2 linked regions of the Cricetulus griseus genome follow. The protein of the gene in region 2 purifies or fractionates together with the protein of the main gene of each other region. This does not show direct contact. Links are inferred from orthologs where the notes say so. Each region holds a gene or a part of one and is shown on either strand. Other genes may lie near its edges.

The links. The genes of interacting proteins can lie anywhere in the genome.
Region 1: the proteins of Tcof1 (region 2) and beta-arrestin-2 purify together in Homo sapiens (affinity purification with western blotting; 4 studies listed by BioGRID and IntAct, with this or other methods). This does not show direct contact. The link is inferred for Cricetulus griseus from reciprocal best matches to the Homo sapiens genes TCOF1 and ARRB2.

What each region holds. Positions count from the first base shown.
Region 1 is NC_048600.1:84,234,223-84,238,426, reverse strand, and holds part of beta-arrestin-2, read right to left. Parts: intron 3,614-4,204; coding exon 3,583-3,613; intron 2,971-3,582; coding exon 2,910-2,970; intron 2,798-2,909; coding exon 2,753-2,797; intron 2,550-2,752; coding exon 2,353-2,549; intron 2,242-2,352; coding exon 2,182-2,241; intron 1,811-2,181; coding exon 1,743-1,810; intron 1,606-1,742; coding exon 1,467-1,605; intron 1,233-1,466; coding exon 1,148-1,232; intron 854-1,147; coding exon 781-853; intron 524-780; coding exon 386-523; intron 1-385. UniProt on the Homo sapiens protein: Functions in regulating agonist-mediated G-protein coupled receptor (GPCR) signaling by mediating both receptor desensitization and resensitization processes.
Region 2 is NC_048595.1:178,279,973-178,285,169, reverse strand, and holds the end of Tcof1 (treacle protein), read right to left. Parts: intron 4,235-5,197; coding exon of another isoform or gene 4,203-4,234; exon of another isoform or gene 4,196-4,202; coding exon 3,714-4,195; coding exon of another isoform or gene 3,713-3,713; exon of another isoform or gene 3,709-3,712; intron 2,297-3,708; coding exon 2,205-2,296; intron 1,819-2,204; coding exon 1,773-1,818; intron 1,578-1,772; coding exon 1,542-1,577; 3' UTR 1,141-1,541; downstream 1-1,140.

The sequences.
Region 1 (4,204 bases), on a different chromosome or scaffold from region 2:
GGGATCATCCCACCCGAGCCGCAAAGACTGCAGATCTATCTGCCTGGAGCCCTCTTGGCTTGCACACCCACAGGTCTCCTTCCTCTGGGCCCTTCAGTATTCACCCTTTCTGGCCAATCTATTTACAATCAACACAGCCTGACCCTTTCTGTACGTTATCCCTCCTGCTCTGCTTGCTTTTCCCACTTAACACTTGTTCCTAACATGCTATCTAGTTTACCACTTATCTGATTGTCTGTCTTCCCTCCCTTAGAATGTGAGAGGTTTTTGTCACTTCTGTTCACTGATACCTCCCTGGCACCCAGGACAGAGCCTGGCACACCGCCTGCACTGCACTGAACGGAAGCCTGTCCCCTGTCCCCCAGTCCACCAGCCCCGCCCTCACATGGTGCTAGAAGCCAGGTTGGTGTCTTCATGCTTGAGCTGCCCGTCCAGGGCAAGGCCACGCTTCTCCCGGTTGTCACTGAGCAGTGGGGTTATGGTGTACACCTTGCAGAACGTGGAACTGGGAGATACCTGGTCACTGGGGGTTGGGAACAAGGGAACAAGATTCTTGGAGAGACTGGACTGAGGGAGATTCATCATACCACCCTCAGGCGGTACTTCCTCCTTCTCTGTCCATCAGGGCAGATTACGAGGGGGTAGGTTCTGATGCAATCTGCTAACAGCCTGGAGCCCCCAGGCTGCAGAGGGACACCCTTAGAAGTGAGATAGGTTATAAGGAACTCTGCATTCTCATATTCTCCCCTAAGTTGGGTCCCACGGTTGTCCCATACTCACTCTTGCTCAAGCTGAGCCACAGGACACTTGTACTGCGCGGTGCTGAAGAGGCAAATGTCGGCATACTGTCTCACTGTGGGGTAGGGGACCAAGTGGCTTTGGGTGAAGTATAGACTACTACTGTACCACAACTCCAGACCACATGGTGTGAACCCCACTTGGGGGCAGCACACCCCCACCTCCTACCCCTGGCCAACAGCCCTCCTATAATAAACACTAGGGCTGGGCATCATCTGGGAACAGACTAAATTCTTTATGCCCTGGTAGTTCTCCCACACTGGGATATGGCCTGGGCTGAAATGGCAGCAGAAGCCCCTTGTAATCAGGGACTTCCTTCCCCACACCCATGTCCACCCCCACCTCCTACCAGAGACTCTAATCTTCTTGACGGTCTTGGCCGAGTTGTTGGTGACATGGACGTTGACATTGAGTGGCTCCCCGTGGTAATACAGCTTTTGAAGGGAGGGGATGACACAGTTTGCACTTGCTTCAGTGGCTCCAACTTGGGTACCTCTCTGATAGAGGCTGCTCTGCCCCACCTCCAACCCCAGTCCATAGCACCTCCACCCAAGTGAGGCAACCACCTTTAAAAAAAAAATCCCAAACCACCATCCTGCCTGTCGCTTCACCCCTCCCCCAGGCTCTGGCCTGCTTTGTGGCATCTCTGTCACTCTTTTACACCTCACCTCTTTGTCCAGGGAAGCCTCTAGGTGCAGGGACCTCCGGTCAGACATGAGGAAGTGGCGTGTGGTTTCTGCTGAGGGCTGGGGGCCAGGTATCTCTGGAGCAAACTGTACCTTTCTGATGATAAGTCGCACCGAGTTCCTGAGTCAGGGGGTGGAGCAGGGGAAGGGTTAGTTCCAAGACACTACAATTCAACTAAGATTCCTACCCCCAACAGGCGCCAGGGGCTCCATAAGGCTGGGAGGGAGTTGTTAAACCAGAGACAAAGTTTCTCTCACCTTTTGTGGCTTTTTTCTTCTAGAGATTTGGCACAGAAGGCACGAATCTCAAAGTCGACTCCACAGGCCTTGGAAGGGGGAGGAAAGGCCACCTCTTACCCAAGGCTCCTGTTGCCACTTCCAACACACCCCTTCCTTCCTACTTGCTTCATTCCCCTTAAGTGTGAACTTTTGCCCCATCTCGGAAACACGGACTCTCTTGCCCCACTGTCTCCTAGTCTGGCACCTTACAGAGGCTGGCTCATGGCAGTGCATGGAGGAACCCCCATACCCAGGTACATGTTCCAGATGCAGTGACCACACCATGCACACCCATGTCCATGGGGACACCTCCTTGTCTTCAGGACCCCCCTAAACTTCACCCTCTGGTTCAGTTGTGTTTTGTGCTTCTGCTGAGCCCAGTTCTGTTCACACACTGTGATAGCTGTCCCTCCCTTACCTTCCCTGTGTCCTCTGGTCCTGGCTGCAGTGTGACAGAGCAAGGCAAATTCTGGGGTAACTGTGGCAGAGAAAAGGAGGGGTTTCAGTCCCTGGTAACAGGTGCCTCATCCCATGTCAATCCTGCAGCCCCCCCCCCCCCCACTCCTCGGAGAAAAGGGAGCATCCTCACTGTGAAAAAAAAGGGATGGGCATGCTGGCCCAACTTCTTCAGCAGTCGGTCCTGTAGCCGGGTGGGGGGCCGGGGTGGGTTGGGCATGGGGGGAAAGGCTTGGTAGGTGGCAATGAACAGATCTTTGCGGAAAGACAGGCCCAGTACATCCAGGTCTTCTCGGCCATAGCGGAAGGCGCAGGTGAGGGTAACAAACACTGGAAAGCGAGGGCAAGGTGGGATGATCAAGAGACATCCTTCATGTCGCCCACATCCTTCCTCAGCACGACAGACTTCCCTGAATCCTACCCCCTGCTTCTGCCTCAGCCTTCCATCTGTCTGGGACACCCTACCAATGCCAACCCATCGAATTCCTTCTTCTTCCTGCCTCCCCTCCAGCTCCTGGACTTGGGTCTAGTACCTTTGCGGTCCTTCAAGTAGTCAGGATCCACGAGCACCACGCCATCTAGGAAAGGGAGACGTGGATTCATTTTCTGAAGGCGGCCTTTCCCCATCCCCAGAACCAGGAACCTCCTCCCTCCTGGGGGGATGAGCTACCCCCTTCTAGGCAAACTCACCCACAGGATCCACTTTGTCCAGGTGGTCTACAAAGTCGCGCTTGCCCAAGTACACGGTGAGCTGAGGATGTCAAGGGTCACAGGCAAAATTGGGGAGGATGGTGGCAAGCCACCAGAGCCCTCAAAGATGGCGGCCCTGTCCTGGGCTCCCCTTGGCTGGGTTATCAGGAAGGAGTTTCTCCCAGTGTTATTGGAAGGTGAGAGTGGTAGGGCTTTCCAGACTATTCAGTAAAGCTTTCATTTAGGCTTTTGTCTGCTCCTCTGGTCACTTTTCATACCGCTGTCCACCAAGCAAGGACAGAGGTGTATGTGTGTATATGTGTGTGTTCCCATGTCTTCAGGGAGCACTCAGTCAGACCAGGCAGTTAGCAGCTCTCCCCACAAAGGGCTCTGCAATAAACAGGCCACAGCCTGGGGAACTATTAACTTTTCCTAGTCCCAAGTACCCTGGGTTGGTTCCTAAGAGAATTACAAGCTTGCTTAGGAACCTAGCCTGGTCCCCACCCAGCCCTGTGGCTTCTTCAGACTGTGGCAAGGGGCTTAAGGAGGGAAGGAAGTCTGCTTTTAGCTGTCACAGGAAGTGGGGAGCTAAGGGTTGGGGATCAGCTGGGGGTAGGTTGGGCTTTGATAGGGCCCAGGAAGGATCGAAGCATAAGCACTGTGGGTGACTCACCTTGCAGTTAGGGCTCGACTTCTTGAAGACCCTAACAAAACAGAAAGGGAGACCCCACTGCCTCCCTTAGACTCAGCAGGGACCACCACACCAGGACTTATCCCTCCCTAGCCCAAGAAGTGGAATTCACCCTGGATCCCTGGTCTACCCTTCCCACTTTTTTTTTTTTTTAACAAAGTCCCAGTATTTTCCACATGGCAGCCCCTTGAAGCCAACTGTCAGGGCAAACACTTGCTCCTTTGATTTGATCCACCTCTACAGTAATGGCCACTGGTTGCTCCAGGAACCATCTAGACTCTCCCGAGGGCACCGTCCCCAGAAGAAGATGGGAACTAGATGGCTATCCAATGTCTGGGTCAGACCTAACACACTTTTCTTTTGAGACCGGGATTTAACTATGTAACCCTGGCTGGCCTGGAACTTGATATGTAGACCAGGTTGGCCCCAACTCTGAGATCCACCTGCCTCTGCATCCCTGATGGTGAGATGAAAGGCGTGAACCACCACCCTCAGTTAAACTAGCCACTTTTCAAATGACCTCTAGCTTCGAGGACACCTGGAGCAGTGCCTTGACTTTACCCCTCAGTTTCTACTGAAGGCACTGCCCACATCTGCTTATTTC
Region 2 (5,197 bases):
CTCATGTGACAATAAAAGGTAGTGAGTAGAACATTCTTGCTCCTGGCTCTTCTGTTGAGATCCAATTTGTTTACCCTAGGAAAGTCAATGAAAACCTTAAACCTAGTCATCTAGGTAGCCAGGGTCTATGGAGCCTGGGGAGGTGGGCCGTGGATACTTAGTACCTGTTCAACATTCAGAAAGACACAGACTCTTGCCCAGTTTAAAAAGCACAGCTCATCATGTCCCAGCTTCCATTTCTCATGTCCCCAATTCCATTTCTGTACTAAGAAAGTGTGATGACAGATGGCAATGGACACAGGGGCCTAGTGTCAGGAATGGATGCAAATGGGGGCTGCCACCAGCTGGCCACCTGTGCAGGACTCAGGGCTACTTAGCTCCAATCCATTGCTGCTGGAAAAGGAAACAGATCCCTGATAAGCCCAGGAGTCTGAAATGAACATGAGTGACATCGTTCCGGTTTTACATTTAAATACTTCTGAGTCAGCACACCAATGAGACCCTCCTCTGCAGTCTGATGGAGACCAACACACTTGTAATGAAGGGAATGGCTGTTCACGTCAGTGGTGTCCCAAGGCTCTGTGCACAGGGTCTCCAGGGACCTCCAGCAGGAGCCTGAGGTGAAATGCTTAGACTTCTGGTGTTTCACAGGACTCCAGGCTGAGGTGGCCTTTGAATGCTTATGCAGAGGAAGCCAGAGGAGCATTGCCATCCTCCTCCCTTGGTCTACCCCAGCAACAGTCCCAACACACACATGGACTTTGTTCACTTCTTGCCTTCACCACCAAAGAACTATTCCCTGGCTAGAGGGCAATTCTCGGCCTCATTTACTGGCCCTTCCACCCTTCCCATGGCAGCCACCTCGCTCCACACCATCCCAACTCCAAAGCTTCCAAAGGCTCTTTGGTCACCTGCACTCTCTACCATGGCATCTGACCCACCTTCAGCTCTCCTCAAACTCAGAGGCCACCTCCTTCAGGGAGCCCTCCCTGAGGCGCTTTGCCGAGGCCTTTCTTTAGCAAACTGTCCTCCTCACAGTACCGTAGGGCCTTGACATGCTCCTGTGCTCCTCCAGGGTTCCCACACTACCTTTCCTAGTCAGTAACAATGCAGGTCCACATGCACAGGGAAACTCAAACCTTTACATTTAAAGTCTTTTATTTTAAGTTCTTAAAAAAAAAACACAGCTGGAAAACTGATAGGACAAGGCCTTGGGATAAGCCAGGGATCCAGGGAATGGGATGAACTCTAAGTGGGACCTCGCTGGGTCTACAGAGCAGAGGGAGGAAGGTCCTGAGGCCTTTGGGCATGGTGGATTTGAAGGGGGAGAGGCAGGTCACTTAAAAAATATATATATATACTGTACACATCTTATGCAGCACTCAGAGGGAGTGGGTGTGTTTCATCCCACTTCCTCTTGGGACTGCCTCCTCCTTGCAGGCTCACTGGCTAGGCCAGCAGCACATGCTGGAGTCAGCCATCATCTTCTGTTGAGGGAGGGTAAGTTAAAAAGTCCAGTCCCAACTCACACTGGCCAAAGGTCAGAGGTCTGGGGACAGCCACACTCTGACAAGACTCTAGAAGGAAACAAACCAGGCTTTGGTCACATATCCTGAACTTTATCTCCACAAGGAGAACAAAGCTAAGGGATGTTGCTTGGCCACCAGCCTCGCTCAAGATGTGGCATGTGGCTGATGTACTTGCTAGCAGTGCCCCTCAGTCCCACTGACCCTGGGGAAGGGAGTTGTTGTCTCTCTGGCTCCCTCTCTTACCTGTTCTATGTGTTGGCCCTCACACGGCAGGCTCTGCTGTCTTCTTCTGTGAGGAGAGAAGGGCAACACCACTCTTAGTGCAGCGGGTCCTCACCACTGCTGCCCCACCTCACAGGGCAAGGCAGGGGTGATACCTCATGGGTGTCTTCAGAGCCACACCCCTGTAGCTTCCACTGCTAGGCTTTCCCGTGCTACCACGCCTGGACCAAACAGCCTTTGACCTCATGAAATGGATGGCTGTCTCTTCAGTGAGCACCCCCACTGGTCAGGACATGTGGGCCAGGCATTTCCTCAAATCCCTTCTCACCTGGGAGCTGGCTGTATCACCCCTTGCCCACTCTTCCTCACAAGGTCCATTATAACTTGAGTCTGGGTGTTGGAAGGGGAAGGGTTCGAATTTCTGGCCCAAGAGCTCCCAGGAACTCAATCTACCTTTTTCTTCTTCTTCTTGATCTGTGAGTCAGGGTCTTTGGCTGACGTCTTCTTTCCTTTCTTCTTTCCCTTTTTGTCCTTGCTTTTTTTTTCTGAGGGAAGAAAATGAGCTCTGATACTGAGTGGGTCGGTGTCAGGAGGCCCACAGCAGCTCCGAGCTACTATGCCACTGGGAAGCCAGCCCTGGTGGGACCAGGTTATCCTTCTCGCTCCATTCTTCCTGTCCATGGACTACACAATCTAGGGCCTCAATACTAGCCATGCCAAGTTCTTTACCACTGAGATATATGTCCAGTCTGGAACTAACTTTAAGAACCCCTCCCCCATGTCCCTGGATGTGCAGATGGGCTCGTGTGGCTGCTGCAGGTGTCAGAGCAACCCTCCTGCCTGCTTACCTGTTCCCTCATTAGATAGCAATGGAAGCAGGCAGAGGCTGAGGCCCAGCTCCAGGATGAGAACAGCTGCCTTCCCTAATGTCAGAATGCTCCCGCCATGCTCCTGCTGCTGTGTCCTCTCCTGTTCTCACCTGATCTCTGTATCCCTCTAGTCTGCTTCTGGAGGACTGGCCCAAATGGGTTTCTCAGATGCCAAGTCTGTTTAAATTACTGTGTAAAAAAGACTGCATCATTCGGAACTTGAATTTTGCATTAATAAATGTTGGTGAATGCTAAATAAAAGATTACTTAGTCTAAAAGAAGCCCTACCCCACACTTATTTAACCCCATGGGTTCCCGACACCAGATGGCCAGATACCTCTTCTCCCAGACTCTTGCCACAGATGGGCAGACAATGCACAAAAGAGAATTTCCATGCTGGGCGTGGTGGTGCATCCTTTTAATCTCAGCACCCAAGAGGCAGAGGAAGGTGGATTTCTGTGAGTTCGAGGCCAGCCTGCTCTACATACTAAGCTTCAGGCTGGCTAGGCTACATAGTGAGACCCTGTCTCAAAACAAAGCAAAAGTGGACTGCCCAGCAAAAGTGGCCTTTCTTTCTCAGAGCCTGTTTTCCATTTAGAAAATGAAAACCAAAGTCCCCACTGCCTTGGGCTGGCAGGGCAACTCCAAAGGCACCTGGGTGCAGGTTCCAGCATGGAGAACAGTAAATGCTGCTTTCACTGAGGAGGAGCTGAATTCCAGAGGAAAAGATGGGTTCCAGATAAGGATGCATGCACATTCCATACCTCAGGAACCCACAGTGGACCTCTGGTGTGAGGTAGGTTGGAGTGGAGTGCTCCCTGTTTTCCATCCTTGTGAAGCTGGAGTTGAGCTTATGCTTTCTAAAAGCTGACCGTGGGTGTAAATGCTGGGCACTGCGAGGGTCTCCTGGGCTATGGGGAGGAGGGGATGCAGCCCAAGTGCCCCGCAATCTACTTTTGGCTTTGCCACCAGATGCCTGTTGCTCTAGACAAATCACTTCCCAGGCTCTTGTTCTTTGTGGAAAGATTGAGATAAAGAGGCCTGCCACCCAGCCCTGCATCCGCAGTGTATGATGGGGGAGTAGTCACTTACTTTTACTGGATTTCTTCTTTTCCTTCTTGTTCTTTGTGTCATTCTGCTGTCCACTCTCAACTTTTAACCCCAGCTCACTTTCGGGCTTCGCCTTGGCCCCTTGGGAGCCAGATGATCCCTTCCCCTTGCCATCAGCATTTACTTCGTCTAGCTTTGATTTTGTCTTGGAAGTCCCAGAGGCCTTCTTCTTGCTCTCTGGGGCCCCTGCTGCTAGCTGGTCCCCCGACAGCTTCCGCTTCTTGCCCTTCTTCCCACTCTCCTTGATGGCCTCTGTGGCCTTCTGCCTTTCCTGCTCCAGCAGTTCTGCCAGAACCTTCACCACAGAGGCCTGCACCTGCGCCTCGCTCAGGGACCAGGACTGTTCCCGGAGGCACTGGGTGATGCTGTTCTGCAGAGCCTGTGTGGGTGTTGCTGAGGTCCAGGTGCTTTTCTTAGCCTTCTTGGGCTTCGGAGGTGTGGTGTCTGAAGAGGTCTCTTTCCTACCTGTGGATCACAGGTCTCGGAGGTCACAGGTCTGGAAAGCTGAGGGACAGATCTTACACAATATATGAGAACTGACGGGGTGCACCTCCTTACAACTGTACAGATGGGAAACTGAGGCCCTGGGGGTCACTATTCCTCATCATCCCCCATGCTCATGCCTTACACAGGAATCTCACCCTAGCTTCCAGCACCACTCTATGTCCTCACATCAAAAACTACACCCATTTATAGCTGGAGATGGACAGTGACCCCAGAACGTTAATGAGAGGGTGGGCCTGAAGTCTGCCAAAAAGACCAAGGGATGGGACACAAGTGACTCAGATGGGACACAAGTGACTCAGGATCTACATCTGCCTTTATCAATCTACTGTAAGGCTTTGGCCAGATCACAGTTCCTTGAGGCCTGTTTTCCATTGTAAAACAAGAAGCTAGAAATACAATGGTGTCCTTTGCCATGAATTATAGATTTATAAAACAGGAGAAGGTATTACAGACTACTGTTCAGCTCTTGTCTGTGGACATTCACTGGCTCCTTGGCCCATCAAGGCTGGGGCCAGAGGCAGATAGGGGGAACTCTGGGTATGCTGTGTATGCATGTGGTGGCTGACTAAGCAGGTTTACTGCCTGCCAGAGTGACTTCTGGTGCAGCCTTTGTTTAGAATTTTCCACGCCTCTGCTTGCCTTTGATAATTGTGTGCTGACTACACGTGTAAAAAAAAAACCTTCCACAGCCCCCTCGAAAATGTCTCCCTGTTGCACCCGCCTCTCACATAGACAAGAACACTGGGAAGAAAGTGAGCAACAACTCCGCCTCTGACCCAGTGCAGGAGAGCCCAGATAGCAGATAGAGCCCAGAGCTTTTGGTCCCCTCACCGATTCTAGTCTCCCAAGTCACTCGGGTAGGTCTCTACCATTCTGTGCCACACAGAATTCCTACATTTTGGGCTCAGGGGTTGGACCCTGGCAGTTTATGCCTCAAGGAAAAGCTGACAGGAATGGAAT